Daphnia pulex: one gene and its partners. The protein of the gene in region 1 purifies or fractionates together with the protein of each later gene. This does not show direct contact. Links are inferred from orthologs where the notes say so. Each region holds a gene or a part of one and is shown in the gene's direction. Other genes may lie near its edges.

What was found. Proteins that work in one complex are often made in the same cells at the same time.
Region 2: the proteins of putative pre-mRNA-splicing factor ATP-dependent RNA helicase PRP1 (region 1) and calcium homeostasis endoplasmic reticulum protein-like purify together in Homo sapiens (co-immunoprecipitation; 3 studies listed by BioGRID and IntAct, with this or other methods). This does not show direct contact. The link is inferred for Daphnia pulex from reciprocal best matches to the Homo sapiens genes DHX15 and CHERP.
Region 3: the proteins of putative pre-mRNA-splicing factor ATP-dependent RNA helicase PRP1 (region 1) and splicing factor 3B subunit 6-like fractionate together in Homo sapiens (co-fractionation; 3 studies listed by BioGRID and IntAct, with this or other methods). This does not show direct contact. The link is inferred for Daphnia pulex from reciprocal best matches to the Homo sapiens genes DHX15 and SF3B6.
Region 4: the proteins of putative pre-mRNA-splicing factor ATP-dependent RNA helicase PRP1 (region 1) and RNA-binding protein cabeza-like purify together in Homo sapiens (affinity purification with mass spectrometry; 4 studies listed by BioGRID and IntAct, with this or other methods). This does not show direct contact. The link is inferred for Daphnia pulex from reciprocal best matches to the Homo sapiens genes DHX15 and FUS.

Annotation. Positions count from the first base shown.
Region 1 is NC_060017.1:1,846,458-1,850,756, reverse strand, and holds the start of putative pre-mRNA-splicing factor ATP-dependent RNA helicase PRP1, read left to right. Parts: upstream 1-1,435; 5' UTR 1,436-1,561; coding exon 1,562-1,608; intron 1,609-1,789; coding exon 1,790-1,831; intron 1,832-1,944; coding exon 1,945-2,052; intron 2,053-2,115; coding exon 2,116-2,256; intron 2,257-2,319; coding exon 2,320-2,394; intron 2,395-2,455; coding exon 2,456-2,560; intron 2,561-2,623; coding exon 2,624-3,002; intron 3,003-3,082; coding exon 3,083-3,337; intron 3,338-3,401; coding exon 3,402-3,660; intron 3,661-3,719; coding exon 3,720-3,911; intron 3,912-4,265; coding exon 4,266-4,299. Other genes in the region: quinone oxidoreductase-like, read right to left, coding at 51-83.
Region 2 is NC_060023.1:8,902,433-8,906,669, forward strand, and holds calcium homeostasis endoplasmic reticulum protein-like, read left to right. Parts: upstream 1-1,369; 5' UTR 1,370-1,483; coding exon 1,484-1,508; intron 1,509-1,570; coding exon 1,571-2,010; intron 2,011-2,068; coding exon 2,069-2,360; intron 2,361-2,427; coding exon 2,428-3,175; intron 3,176-3,258; coding exon 3,259-3,678; intron 3,679-3,749; coding exon 3,750-3,894; intron 3,895-3,959; coding exon 3,960-4,124; 3' UTR 4,125-4,179; downstream 4,180-4,237. Other genes in the region: uncharacterized protein LOC124197929, read right to left, coding at 1-13; TELO2-interacting protein 1 homolog, read right to left, coding at 4,193-4,237. UniProt on the Homo sapiens protein: Involved in calcium homeostasis, growth and proliferation.
Region 3 is NC_060019.1:12,853,458-12,855,998, reverse strand, and holds splicing factor 3B subunit 6-like, read left to right. Parts: upstream 1-1,241; 5' UTR 1,242-1,371; coding exon 1,372-1,401; intron 1,402-1,515; coding exon 1,516-1,634; intron 1,635-1,691; coding exon 1,692-1,911; 3' UTR 1,912-1,973; downstream 1,974-2,541. Other genes in the region: pantothenate kinase 3-like, read right to left, coding at 1-127, 196-369, 437-627, 689-788; dolichyldiphosphatase 1-like, read right to left, coding at 2,205-2,334, 2,397-2,525.
Region 4 is NC_060020.1:5,621,324-5,625,700, forward strand, and holds the start of RNA-binding protein cabeza-like, read left to right. Parts: upstream 1-1,509; 5' UTR 1,510-1,604; coding exon 1,605-1,617; intron 1,618-1,836; coding exon 1,837-2,076; intron 2,077-2,141; coding exon 2,142-2,258; intron 2,259-2,320; coding exon 2,321-2,390; intron 2,391-3,058; coding exon 3,059-3,093; intron 3,094-3,839; coding exon 3,840-3,970; intron 3,971-4,036; coding exon 4,037-4,166; intron 4,167-4,230; coding exon 4,231-4,377. Other genes in the region: DNA repair protein RAD51 homolog 4-like, read right to left, coding at 19-335, 451-619, 684-882, 958-1,220. UniProt on the Homo sapiens protein: DNA/RNA-binding protein that plays a role in various cellular processes such as transcription regulation, RNA splicing, RNA transport, DNA repair and damage response. Binds to ssRNA containing the consensus sequence 5'-AGGUAA-3'.

The DNA of each region.
Region 1 (4,299 bases):
TATTTTAATGTTCATAATCTCTACATGATTTTGTCCATTTTTCTGTATACCCTAGTTAATACAAAGAAGTTTCTCGAGTTCATTGACACATATTTAGTTAAGGGCTCGGTCGAAAGTTCGTTGCATCTTTCATTTTACAGTTTACCTTCACTGGATAATTTACAGTTTACCTTCACTGGATAACTGCTTGCTGGCTTTCTCTTATCTAATCAAGCAGCACCTCTAGTTTTATTCAATAAGATATCTGTTAATAACATCAACAAGTTCAGACGACATAGAGGGCGAAGGCTCCCAATTCAAAAAATGTCCGATCGCAATTTTTGCAAATCATAAACAGAAATGCAAATAAAAAAAGTAGTCTTTGGTCTCTTTAGAAGGAAAATATTAAATCAAAATGCGATGCTCTAGATACTGAGAGCGCGTAACGGAAATCGGGTTTCTTTGGAAATATTTTCTCCCGAAGTACGGGCACTTTTTCGGCCATTGAAATCAAGTTATTTAACAGCACACACGAAATTTCCAATTATTTTGTTAAGTAATATTACAGATTTTTAGCTATAGCGATAAAATTAACGGTAACAAAAAATTGTCTTACGGATTTTCAAAGGGAATTGTAACAGGGAAACGTAAACTGGACGGACGTAGGACGGAAGACCTGTTAATTCCTCGGCGGCAGGTAGCGATGTGAATGTCGGGAGCACCGAGAAAGAAGAAATAGGACATCAAATTTCCTAGCCTTTCTTTTTTTCTTTACTGCTATGTGTTCCGCTCAGTTCACGATTTCATGCCCGTTCTCTGCGTTCTACTTTCTCTCTACAACTTCCCTACTAATAAAGAACAATTTAAATTGAATTATTCCGGGAAGCATCAATGCATTTAAACAATAGCTTCTCCCCATATAGATTTTTATTTTCTATTTTTTCCTAGGCCTAATTTCATTAGACCAAACACATGATTAATAGAAATAAGACAAATTGAGTCCTTCAATGCGTATTGGATATTCAAACTAATTTATTTGAAATGAATTCAAAGTTTTTTATAATAAGGACGTCGTCAATGCTGAATTCTCGTGGAATATATAAACATAACGGTACTGAACGGAGGAAATATTCCGAATTGAGAAATCAACAACTTTTTCATTTAGGCTAACTTGTAACTTTCTAACCACCAAAACGAGGCAACCATGAAATTGTGATCGAGCAGTAAAATAATTACTATACTATTCAATTAGCAAATACCATATAGCTAGGGTCTGAAACGAATTAGAAGCAAAGCCATATACATTTATAGATCAGCGCCGCGCATAAAAATACGGCATCTGTAGACGAGTTATTGTCAACTTAAATTGTGGCAATAAACCAGTAGTTCCGCAGTTCGCCGCTTATTGGCTATGTGCCATCTAGCGATTTGAAATGAAACGCGTGCTTCCTTTGAATTTCACAAGTAGCGTCTGCAAGTGTGGAAATTGGTGGCCGAAGTTCCTGTCTGTGCTGTTGGAAAACGTGTATCCACGTCCTGTTCGTTTTTAAATATCGTAAAATAGATATTTTCACCTCTTATTATGTCGAAAAGACGCATAGAAGTTGATGACAAGCTCAGCAAGAAATCGTAAGTAAAATGCAATTATTCAAATTAGACAAATAAACCCGCGATTGTGTCATTTGTAATGCACATGAGCATGCTGTAGTGAAACATGTCGTGGTCGATAAGATTGTTAATGATTTTTCAAAAAACCATCATTCTTTTTTTAAATTATTATGCAATAAAATTAATTTGTTTTACTTTACAGCCGGGCAACTGGTGACAAAGGGAGTGAAGCAGATAAAGAAAAGTAAGCTTCTATTGTTATAAATATTTTTCTAAATTCATTTTCACTTTTTGATTTACAAATTCCCATATTAGTGTCTTAAGATTAAAATAATGCTTTGTCTTATTACTTTACAGAAATGTAACTGATTCTAAACCTGGTGGTTCATCTGCATCAATTCCAGTAACACCATCAAAGCCAGGGTTGACATTAAATCCCCTTACAGGATTGCCCTATACACAAAAGTACATCATAAATATTATTTTTTTTTAAACACTCGTTGATAATGATCATTTATATTGTTTTAGATACTATGACATTTATCGAAAGCGCATTGGCCTTCCAGTTTGGGAATACAGGGAGAAATTTTTTGAGCTTCTAGAAAACAACCAGGCAATAGTTTTAGTTGGAGAAACTGGATCGGGAAAAACTACTCAAATTCCTCAATGGTTAGGAAATATATTTAGTTTATCGTAGAGCAGTTTGTTGATAATTTGCTATTATTGTGACAGGTCGGCTGAGTTTGCGCGAAAACTAGGAGTTAAAAAAGGAGTCGCTTGTACTCAACCACGTCGAGTTGCTGCTATGTAATATTTTAAGTCAAATAGTTAATTTTCTCTTAATATAAAACCGTTTTTTTTTTGTAAGGTCTGTGGCTCAACGTGTAGCTGATGAAATGGACGTCGTTCTTGGTCAAGAAGTGGGTTACAGTATCCGTTTCGAAGACTGTTCTTCCCCCAAAACCGTACTCAAGTATGTTCTTTTGAGTAAAACGTTTTATTCGATCAAAACTATTCCCTATTTCATTTTTTAAAGGTACATGACAGACGGTATGTTGTTGCGTGAAGCCATGTCAGATCCACTGTTAGACTCGTATCAGCTAGTTTTATTGGACGAAGCTCACGAGCGTACACTTGCTACTGACATTCTTATGGGTGTTTTAAAGGAAGTCATTAAGCAAAGGCGTGATCTAAAGTTAATTATCATGTCTGCCACGCTTGACGCGGGAAAGTTTCAATCTTATTTTGATAACGCACCATTGATGAACGTGCCCGGTCGGACGCATCCTGTGGAGATCTTTTACACCCCAGAACCCGAGCGTGACTATCTTGAAGCAGCCATACGCACAGTCATGCAAATTCACATGTGTGAAGATATTGTCGGTGATGTTCTTCTCTTCCTCACTGGTCAAGAGGTTAGCTTTATATATTTGTAAAATTTGATTGAATTTCTCAGATTTCTCTGAACATGTTTATCTTATTCATGTACACATAGGAAATCGATGAAGCTTGCAAAAGGTTGAAACGTGAAATCGACAACCTTGGTCCTGAAGTGGGAGAAATGAAGTGTATTCCTTTGTACTCCACATTGCCACCAAATTTGCAACAGAGGATTTTTGAGGCTGCTCCCCCAGTTAGACCAAATGGAGCCATCGGTCGTAAAGTGGTTATTAGTACCAACATCGCCGAGACCTCGCTTACTATTGATGGTGTTGTTTTTGTTATTGACCCTGGTTTTGCCAAACAAAAGGTAACATTTAGGAATTTTCAAATGTGAGTTACATGGTTCAAATTTGTGGAATTGCTGTTTTCAGGTTTACAATCCTCGCATTCGCGTCGAGTCTTTACTCGTTTCTCCTATCAGCAAAGCATCAGCTCAGCAACGTGCTGGGCGTGCCGGGCGTACGCGACCAGGAAAATGTTTTCGTCTTTACACAGAAAAAGCCTACAAACAAGAGATGCAAGACAACACATATCCTGAAATTCTTCGCTCCAACTTGGGATCAGTCGTCATTAATCTTAAAAAATTAGGCATCGACGACCTTGTTCATTTTGATTTCATGGACCCTCCAGGTACCATATCAACATTTAAATAAATAAACCGCATGCTGATTTTTTTTTTTATTTTACAGCTCCCGAGACTTTGATGAGAGCTCTAGAGTTGCTGAATTATCTCGGTGCTTTAGACGACGATGGTAACATGACCGAGTTGGGAGCAATTATGGCTGAATTTCCCCTTGATCCTCAATTGGCCAAAATGTTGATTGCTTCTACGGAATTCAACTGCTCCAATGAGATCCTTTCGATTACGGCTATGCTTTCCGGTAAGCTTCACCTAACTTCTATTTCGGTTGATTTGGTTGTCTTTGTGTGGGATCTGAAAAATAGCTAGGGTGATTTGCCACGTTTTGCCTTTGTAGTTTAATCTAAAAGTTCTTACTTGTTATGGCAAAACGGCTAATCAACTGGTTTAAAAGGTGTGCTTTCTTTGAGAGCACAGATCATAGTAGAAACGATAGGCTGTTCTATTGTATCCTGTTAATAGGTGAACAGAACTAAACATGAAGGCGGGACGCGCGGGCTTCCCATTTTTTGGTCTCCTTGAAAAATGTGGGGCCCCACTTCCGTCTCTTTCTCTTTTTGTCTCCTCCCATTTTTTCCGCAACGTCTGAATGCAGTCCCACAAGTTTTTATGCGTCCACTGGAAGCCAA
Region 2 (4,237 bases), on another chromosome or scaffold:
CTTTGACTGACATGGTCGTCCGAGCGGAATCCGAGCCTTCCCGGCAGCCAATGTGGCACAACGCATGCCTCGTCTCACGATTCAGCTATCGTCTGCCAGACTCGCATCTCATTCCTCTCACTCCGCAACGTCGGAATACGAAGTTGATTGAAGGTCAACTTTTTTTCAAAAAAGGGCTCGTGTTTTGGCATATGAATCAAACACAACACCCAACCATCTCGGCGCCATTCGACGAGCTACTGGACCTCCCTCCGGATCTCTGAAAATCGAGTGGAAGAAATAAAATGTTGTTTTGAATGATTTGGATCAAATTGAAACGAAAGAGCACTTTACACAATCAGTCAAAAATATTTTGGGTTATTTCATTTCCACTTGAACAAATACACTTATTTCGATTCACACACAATCTGTCGAATTCTTTCCAACGCCAACGACTTTTTTCCTCCAATTATTTTAATATTAGAACAAGGAAGAAGATTTTGTATGCGGCCGATTTGCTCACGACCCGATCGCCGACTAACTTTGCCCACGAAAAACTGGCAAATTTGTTTGTTTTTAGTTTGAATTTTTCTTTTTCCTACACGACGCGCTTCTCATTTTCTTTCTGGTCTGGTGTTCGCCCTTTTTTTCGCAGTTGCTTCCAAATATTTTAAAACTTGGCTCAAGTTGGATGCAGTGTGCTACTATTTTGGGCGCCATACACACACACTCGCATACACACACACACACACACACACACTGCTGATGTATATTATTGGCATTCGCAGCCGCCCACTCAAGCTATTATGTTACCCGAACGGTCGAGAACGGAAATAGGAAGAAGAACAGGCGAAAAAAATGGTCTTCCACTGGTCATCATTGCCCCGAAACACTGTCATATTAAAAAAGAGGTAGTTCATCTGGGACAAAGAGTTATGATATTTGGTGTGTCTTTTGTTGCGACACATCGTTCGATTGGGACCCTGCCAAGAACGCATTTTGAAATAGCGAAGAAAAAGCGAACTGTCCGTTTGAGAGTTGATGTATCTATTCATGTGTGCTACTGCTGTAATTGTTGGTTGACCGATTACTTTGCGTGTGATGACACGACCTGCAGCGCGAGAGAGAGAGTCAGACTCCCCCCCAGCGAGACGAGGAAAGAGATTGGAACTTAACGCGTCAACACATCATATCAACCTTTAATTATGTGGAAAACGAGTTTGAATTACAAAGAAGCATATACTCATAAATATGGAAAGCTGCATTCGATGTATACAAACAAGAAATTTTTCCCCAATTGAAATTCTTGTCACACGTTAGGGAATTTACTATTCGCACCGAACTTCACGCCATCTAGTTTAGCAAAAACGCACCGTTTACTAGACTCTGGCGGAATTCAACACGAACTATTAATGCCGGCATCGAAACAATTCACAGTTGCATATGTATGTGTGTTTTTGATTGCCTAAAGTTTAATTAAAGTTTTAAAACATAAAACTCTGCAATGGATCTACCTCGTCCTCCCGAAGGTAATAACCGTTTAAATTGAAAAATCTCCTCATCAATTTGTTCACAACAAATATTTTTATAGACATAGAACTGCGCAACATTATTGACAAGTTAGCTCAATTTGTGGCGAGAAATGGTCCCGAATTTGAGCAAATGACGAAAAACAAACAACGAGATAACCCCAAGTTTGGTTTCCTGTTTGGTGGGGAACTTTTCAACTACTACCAGTACCGTGTGACAACAGAGCAAGCAATTAACAAGCAAAAGTTTGTCCGAGAGCAAAGTCAACCCATGAGCTATCCAATCAACTATGGCCCACCGCCTAATACAGAACATCCCAGTTTCAATAGGAATTACAACTATGGCCCTTCTTCTGCATGGCCTAGGGCTCACCCACAGCCATCAATGCCCAATCAGATGTCATTTCCTGGACAAAATCCCATCCCTCCTCAAACAGATTTGATTGCTTTAAAAGGTGCAAAAGATGTACTCGTTGCCCAACAAACTCAACTGCAGGAACAGGTAAACATACTCCAGATCATATCAAAAATAGTAAATACTAATTGGTTTGGTTCACCAGATCAAACAAAGTGAAAGCAACTTGGCCGCTCAACATCAAGTGACAGTGCAACAGCAGAAAAAGCAGACAGAGGAAACAGTCAAGTTGCAACACGAAAAAGAAGTCATGGAAAAAGCGTTGGCAAGTGGAATGAATTTGGCAGAGTTAGAATTGCTTTTACTGCCTATCATGGATTCTTGCACCAAAGAATCCATATCTCAGGGTAAAGCTTGGATTCTCCATCATGTGATGCAGCCTCATTCATCCTCTGATGCCATAGCACAATATCTCCTTTTCAAAACAACTCAAAGCAGTAAGTTTTCCTCTGTTGTGGCTACTTGGCATTGCCTGAGCATTTTTTTTTCTTTCTGAATCAACAGGTCAATTTACCCACAAACTTCACTTGATCTATTTGGTCAACGACGTGTTACACCATTGTCTCCGCAAAGGACCCGACACGCTTTTAAAGACACTCGAACAAGTTGTCGTCCACATGTTTTCAAACACTAGTCTGTCTGCAACCGACGAGGAGCAAAACGCCAAATTGCAAAAACTGGTCGTTTTGTGGCAAACGAAAAATAATTTGTTTGAGCGTGGTGTCCTGGAAAGGTTACACGCACCTTTACACATCTGGAATGAATACCACAACAGTCTAGTGGCCAAATACTCGGCAGCCGTAGCAGCTTCAACTAGCAACATTCAGCATACGTACGAAAACTACCGCGGCCAGCATCAAGCCTTCGTCAATCATGCCAACCACCAGATTCAGCAGCTAGAGCAACAGAAACTGCAAATTGAAGAACAAATCGCGGCGGCCAATGCTTTGCAGTCTTTTAATGCACCTCATCACGCCATGCCGCCGGATTTCTTATCTCGCCCGCCGCCAGTTGCTTCCCTTAATGCCCCGCAAAACTACCCGTGTGAAGGAATTGAACCAAAGGCTCCCTACTTCGACTTACCAGCGGGATTACTCGTCCCACTGGTGAGAATGGAAGACAGCGAGTACAAAAGCATCGATCCGAAAGATATCCGCCTTCCTGCACCGCTCCCACCGTCTGAGCGATTGATTGCCGCCATTGATTTCTTCTACAGTCCTCTCTCGCACGACCGACCACGAAACGCAGATGGGTTCGTGATAGATTTCCTTTCTTGTTGGCTTATCATTCAAGCTTCTTCTTCTCAACTTTTCTCTTTCTTGTTTTTTTTTTTAGGTGGGAGCAGATGGCTCTTTTCGAGTTTTATAAGAACAAGGCAACTGCGAAAAAGAAGAAAGAAGAAGATATTGCTCAGGGATTACGCGACATGTCGCCGCCTCGAACTCCTATCGAAGTTGTCGAGGATCATTCCCCTGAAAGAAGTGGTAAGAATGGAATCAGAAGTCCCGTGCGTCGAAGATTCCGCAGTGAGTCGCCCGAGGAAGAGCATAGAGAAGAATCGAGGCAAGCTCGATCACGATCCAGATCGCCTAGAAATTCAACAAGACGTCGCCGAAGTCGATCTAATTCAGAGTCGCCCCGTCGAGCTGCACGCTCTCGTTCTCCTACACCTAGTCGTTCGGAATCAAGATCTAATTCGCCCGTCACGATGACCGGTTTTGCGCAAAAGCGGAGCCCCACGCCACCTTCAGAAATGTAACCAACCCCTTTTTTTTCCTTAAGTTAGGTCAATGTGATTTGGTTAAATTTGATTCGGCGTTTTGCAGTGCATCCGTGTCGTTTGCCAAAGGTTTCACGACAAAGCTGGACGAAAACAACCGAGGGCATCAACTCTTGTGCAAAATGGGTTGGGGAGGAGCTGGACTCGGCGCAAATGAACAAGGCATAGCGGAACCCATCAAAGGAGGAGAGGTATTGATCGAACGGTACTATTTTTGTGTCAACAGAATAGCGGATTGATATTTTTCGTTCTTCAGGTTCGCGATCGTTTGGACCAGTTCAAAGGTGTCGGTATCAATATACGTGATCCTTTTGAAAATTTCCGAAAAAGCAAAGGTCAGGCGTTCATCACGAGAATGCGCTCAAGGGCCGAAGAACGAGAAAAAGAAAAGGGCGGACCTGACGATCCTCCAACTCCATGAGAATTCACTCACTCTACTTTTGCTTAACTCACGAAATACAGTCGATTCGTCTATACCTTGATATCCGTTTAATGGTGACCTGAACAAGTAAGGGGGAACAGCTGTTTGACCAA
Region 3 (2,541 bases), on another chromosome or scaffold:
CGCACTTAGTTTCGTCAGTTGGATTTTCCCAATAATAAACCTCGGGACGATGAATTTCTTCAATGTACAAGAGCCCACCGATAAGGGATTCCAGTTCGTCCGATTTATGTAGATTTAAATTAACAGCCTACAGACAACCGTATAACAAGATAAGAAAAAAGAAAAAGAAATCAAAGCTGCATAAAGTGTACAAACCCTTAAAAAGTCTTTTTCAAACTTGTATGCACCTCCACCTGTGGCACAAATGGTTGTGGACAGAGAGGCAAATCCTTTAGATTTTGCTAGCTGCAGAAATTGCTCCATTTCAGAGGTAGGAAATCTGATGAAATGTAATGTTCCTACTCTGTTTCCCATTGGAATTGAACTCATCTGAAATTTGAAAATTATACTGAAATCAATTTCTGATAAAATAGGAAAGATTAGAAGATGTAAACACCTGCAGATGAATGTCTCGGTGCCCTGTCTCTCCATAAGCATTGTTACTAGTGAGATACTTTTGAATGTTGTGTAAGGTTTCAATTTCTGACGAACTTACATTCTCTTCCTCAGGAGCAATGTCAGTTGGTTCAAAATACACTAATTTAACTAAAGTTCCACCTATATCCATTCCAAACCAGGGCATGCTAGCTGTAGAATAAAAATAATTGTTTATTATCACAACTAATTGATTAAAAATAACAATACTTACGAGAATGAACAACTGTGGAACTTGAATCATGGCCATTTGTTACCCTGTTTTCTACACTATCCATTGTGCGACCATATTGTGTTTCGTGATCAGAAGACATCTGTTAATGTGCAGAATTTCAATGTGCTTTCTTTAGTTATATCCCAGCAATTCTTTATTGTATGCACAGCACCGGATGAAGCTTAAAAATCCCTTTATTTAATTGATATCGGAAGTAGCGAATCAGTTCAGTTTACGCGACTCGAATAGTGGCCATCTGCATCATATCTTGATATTCGAACCAATAGAAAAAGGAATTCGGGTCGTACGATGTGGAAACTTTTCCCCTTTCCTTTTCTCTTATTTGAGTATGCTATTCCTCATTTGACACAAATTCGTCTGCTAAAACATCAGCATTGCCAAAATATTAAAATGTGAAGAGTAAATTGAGCTAGGAAAAGATTTTTATGAGATATATATACATTTTTTTAGTATTTAATTTGAATCAAATTTTCTAGTGCATAAAACCAATTAATTGAATTACACGAAAATAATGTTTTGTTTATTCTGTCAGCTCAGAATCGTCGTCTGCTATGCAGCCATTTTGAATACCAAGCGGCGTTCTTATTGTCAAGTTCACGAGCACAGTTTTGAATTGTATTGATCAGTGATTTCGTTGTTTTAACTGAATTTTACTCCTAACAATGGCGATGGCAATGCAGAAAAAGCTAAACGTATGCAATCATGTGTTAATTTTTTTTTATCATTAGTAGTTTATTATATTGAGTCAAGATTGTTGTGCATCAAGATTTCCATGTGAGCATTTCTTAAATATTTTTATTTTTCAGGTGAGGTTACCTCCTGAAGTAAACAGAATCCTATATGTCCGAAATCTTCCCTATAAAATTACATCAGAAGAAATGTATGATATCTTTGGAAAATACGGAGCTATTCGGCAAATCAGAGTGTAAGTAGAAATTGATAATATATGTTAGCATCAATTGTAACTCATTTGATTTGATAGAGGGAACACTCCAGAAACCAGAGGAACAGCTTTTGTGGTCTATGAAGACATTTTTGATGCAAAAAATGCTTGTGATCATCTTTCTGGTTTTAATGTCTGCAATCGTTACCTTGTAGTACTCTATTATCAACCTACAAAGGCCTTCAAAAAGGTTGACACAGACAAGAAGAAAGAAGAGATAGAAAGCATGAAGGCTAAATTTGGATTGAATGATGAATAACATGTAAATTGACCTCATTTCTCATTGTACAATTTGGTATAATAAAAAAACCATTTTCACTATGTGAATTGTAACCAGTATTGACCCTTTTCCAACCAGTGTAATTGTGAGGTATTCCATTGTAATGGAATATCAAATATGATTTGCACGAGTTATTACAACTCAAAAATGTTTTTTCTAAAAAGAATATTCACGAAATATCCGGCTTTCAAGAATAACAGATTTGTAGGCACAGTAAACAGACAAACAATTGCACTGCAGCTACTGAACACAAAATTATTTTCAAGCCAGTTTTACTGGGACTTCATGGAGACCAATTTTCGACTTCTGTGCTTTGATTCGCTCCGGTGAGATGTATATTCAAACCAGATAATGTTAGGGATTAATGTTTGATCTCTCACCAATAGCCATTCACACACTCTCCTAAGAAATAACAATGAATATTGCATGTTATCGGCATGGAAACACTTTTGAGGAAAACTAACCATGATGCAACAGTTGGGAACCACGGCGTTAGAGCGAATTGCGTAAATAAGAACCACGAAACTGCTAAAACAGATCCAAGTAATCCCCCTACTATTACTTGGGAAGCAGTGTGGTACTGAAGATAAATCCTAATAATGAAGCAAG
Region 4 (4,377 bases), on another chromosome or scaffold:
TAATACGATCATCAGAAATTAGACTTGCCCGTGGTGAGTATCTCCGTTTCCAAAAAAGTAACTAAAGGAACATTTGGGACCGGGTTCAGCACTATAAACGTTTTTCACGACAGTTAATTCGAATTGGTTGTTGCTCAGGTGTTTGCTGTACAGCCTCAAGGAAGGTACACTGCACCAGTAACGGCCGAGGAATGGCGTCGGCAAAGTTGCTCCTTGCGCTTCCGTTGTTCCTTCCCGTGACCACCTGGAGACGTGATTGACAACAAGAACGACACATTGATGCACCACAGCCAGTCGTTTCAAATCACTGGCCACTTTGTTCAGTAAACTGATGGCTGCAATAAAAACAAAACATAAAGTTGGATTAAGTCTCAAAGGTGTCCATGCCTTATATGTTTTCGGCACTCGAGGGTTTAATTAACTGATGATAAGTCATTTTTATGTACATACAGTCGTTAAATGCGTCCCCACGTATGGGTAAGAATAAAGTGGCTAGACTGTCAATGATGACAAGTTTGTATCTTTTCATTTCTGGAGTCCACAGCAGTTCCAACAGTTGATAGACATCATGTATGTGGCAGAATGTAATCCTTTCTAAACTCTTCACATAATCACCATCCTAAAGAAAGAAACCTCTGTCATTTGCCAAACTCAACAAAATAACCACAATTTGTGCTGCAAACTTTGTCTAAATTTTGCATGATATCTAGGATTCGCTTAGGATTTGCATCACCAGTAGTGATGTAACAGACTTCATACTGTAACTTTAGAGCAGTATTTGCTGTCAAGTGTAAGGCTAATTGAGTCTTTCCAGAACCAGAATCTCCATAAACTTCTACCAGTCTCCCACTTGGAATTCCTCCATGGAACATTCGATCAACACTATCTTATAGAACAAAATTTGGGGGAATTATTATGTATAGACAATTGCATACAATTATTTAGAAAACTTCTTACATCTCAATTCCACTATGAATAACAACTGTTCTCTTCAACATCATGTCATACAGTTTGTCTCCTCTCATGGGTTTGCTGTTGTTGGAAGCTAAGATTTTATCTTTGATTTTGATAATTTCACTGACATTTTGAACAATCAATTTAGCCATTTTGTCATTGTTGTACTGCACAAAATCAAGAGTAGTTAAAATTTTATGGGATTTCAGTAATTCTAGTTTTTCTTTTGTCAGTAAGGGACTGACACTTTCCGATAAAAGATTCATGAAATAAAAAAGAAAGCAAAACAAACAAAACGATCAAAAACAAATTTAAGTCTGCTCAAGTTTGAAAAATGGAGAATGTCAAAGGAGTTGCCAATAGTTTCAATTAACACTTTAGCTTTAACTGAAAAGCTGCTAAAAAGTCATTGAATTAGCGCAGATAAAGACCAGATTATTGCATATTTAATGTTTGAACTTAATTCAGGAATATTTCAAGCATATTATAAACAAGTAAACTAAAATAAAAATAATTTTTTTTTAATATTTGAATCTTTACTATTTCCACGATTAGGCAGCTCTGTAGCGCCCATTACCCAAGCTTAACCGGAACAGGGAGAGTCGGCATTTTCTATAGTCATCTCGTTCTGACGTTATTGTAACAAAACCATGGGAGACAATCGTAAGTTTCATTTTTTAATTGTTAAGTTGACATCTAAATTGATTCGACAATAAATTTAGCGAAATGATGATGTTATTGGCAGTCCGAAAACTGTTTGTTTAGAGTTACACGTACGTCAATTTATAACCCTGTCTTTACCATGTTGTGGCCCAAGCTTGTCTGGGAATCAATATCCCATCTATAAAAAGGACTCATAGTAATCTTATTTCATATTTACAGAATATGGATATTCTGGAGGAGGTGGTGGTGGTGGTGCCTATGGTGGCTACAGCAGTTACGATCAGGCTGCACCTGCCTATGGAGGTCCTCCTTCTGGTGCCCCTGTAAGCGGTGGATGGGGAAACCAAGGTCAAAGCGCAGCACCATACTCTGGGTATTCTGGCGGTGATGGCCCAGTTGGCGGCTACAGCACTCAACAAGGTGGTGCTGGTGGTGCACCATCCACTGCATATCCGTCAGGTTTGTTAACTTCTAACATTTCGTCATTTCTAACATTTTGATCAACACATACAATTTTACTACAGGAAGCAGCAGTGCTGGTTATAGTGCCTATGGCGAACAGACAGCTTATGGAGGCGGTGGTGGTGGTGGATCAAGTTATGACAATGCAGGATCATATGGTGGATCAGCAGCTTATGGCGGTAATCATACTTTGTCCTAGCCTATTTTATTTAGCAAATTTAACTTTATGTTATCATATCAGGTGGTGGTGGCGGCGGAGGTGGTTACGGCGGCGATAGAGGTGATCGAAGTGGAGGAGGGGGAGGATTCAGGTGAGTTTTGTTATTCAAATAGCTGTTAAGATAGTGTAGAAAAATTAAGTGTACAGTTTGATTAAAGGTTACAACCAGTAAAAGGGAAATTTCAAATTGCGTTCAAGAATACGAAAGTTTGGGTCCAATGGTATCTTTAAAACAATGTTTTGGTATTACGTAAAAACTTAGTATGCTCAAAGTCATTCGGGTTTAACAAACGGGTACTCACGGTTTTCACTTCGGTGGAGCAAAAAACAGTGTTGTGATTCAAGTAAAAAACATGAATATCTTAATGTGGTCGTTTCGGATTGATGGTAAAGAAATTTATCCATTTTTAAATACGCGGAGTTTGGTATGTGACCATCACATGTAACAGTTTACAACGGTTATACTGTGCCAAGTGCACCCAACATTGGTTATTTAAAAGAAAGTAGTAATTTTTTTCATATTGCATAATCTGAACATGGTGTTTTGGTAATTTGTTATTGTTTGATTTGTTTTACTTCATGTTTTTTTTTTAATTATTCTTATTTGTAGTAAATTTCGAATTTTTTGAATAGTATTATTTGCATAAGTTATATCATATTGTGTTCCATAATAATTTGAAAGCAAGATGGCAAATGCATCTTAGCCAATTTGGTGTCAAAGACAGGGTATAGCAAAATGTATCTTTCTGGCTATTGCAGTCATAACGCTGGAAGCAGAGACGGGTTTCCCAAAGGTAATTCAAAGGTTCATCTAACGATGCCTTTCTTACTGTGTCTACTTCTGGTACGGTTTGTCACAATCTTGCCGTTGTGGTGGTGAAAAATCTTCGACATCCAAATGGCATTCCTGTTGGTGCAAGTATCAAGCAAAATACTCTATCTCCATCTTTATTCTTATCAAATCTCCTTGTGCATATTTACGAATCTACGGTACAGAATTTCTGTACTCTTTGATAAAAGAGTTTCAGACTTTCTGCGTGTACAGTGATATACCTGGAGAATGTTACCTTTGTATGCTACGGTATTTCAGTCAATTGTCAGCCACTTTCCATGAATTTAAACCCCGAAAGAGGCCGAACGTGTGGTTCTAGTCTTTAAGTGGTGTGTTGGGTAAAAAAACTTATTTCCACCAGAAATTGGTGGTTTTTTCTTTAAAAAATTCCAAATGGTTGTGTGTAAAGAATCCCCAACAAAAATGGTGTGTGAGTGGTTTAAAGAAATGAGTCCAGAAAACCTATGGGTGTATCTGTAACGTGAACAGGTCAATTGAAACTGGTCCTGTAAAGGGTAAGAACAAAGGAAGTGAAAAAGTGGGGAGAGAAATCGGCTAAAGGTTAAATTTACTCATGGAAAGTTTGGTGAACGGTCCGACTATAGTATTTAGCACATCCTAACCCAACTGTGGGACTTGCTTCCTGCCGCCGTTTATTTCAATTGTGAGTACCTGCATTTAATCTTTAATGTATGTTTCGTTGACAAGGTGGAGCTGCACCAGGAGCCGTTGCTGATGACCGTATTGTTATGGACGACAGCGTGTTTGTTTCGGGTCTTCCTGAAAGTGTGACCGAGACCGAGATCGAAACCTTTTTTGGTTCGATTGGTGTTATAAAAGTATTTATTAAAACATCCAAATCAACATTTTTCATTTTGATAATTTTTATTCTTTTGTCTCGATAGATTGACAAGAAAACTGGCAAACCTAAAATCTGGTTGTTCAAAGATCGTGACACTGGCGCTCCCAAAGGAGAAGCAACAATCACCTACGACGATCCTAGCGCCGCTAATGCTGCAATCCAGTGGTTCCATGGTTCGTAACTTGTATTATTATGATGTGTTTTCTTTCTTAGCCATTTTTTAAATTTGTATTACAGGCCAGCCATTTAATAACGGACCAGTGCTGAAAGTCTCTATGGCTACGAGGAAAAACAACTTCCCTGGAGGCTTCCGTGGAGGTCGTGGCGGGGGTGGCGCACGCGGAGGCGGCGGATTTGGGGGAGGTGGCGGAGGAGGAGGCTTCG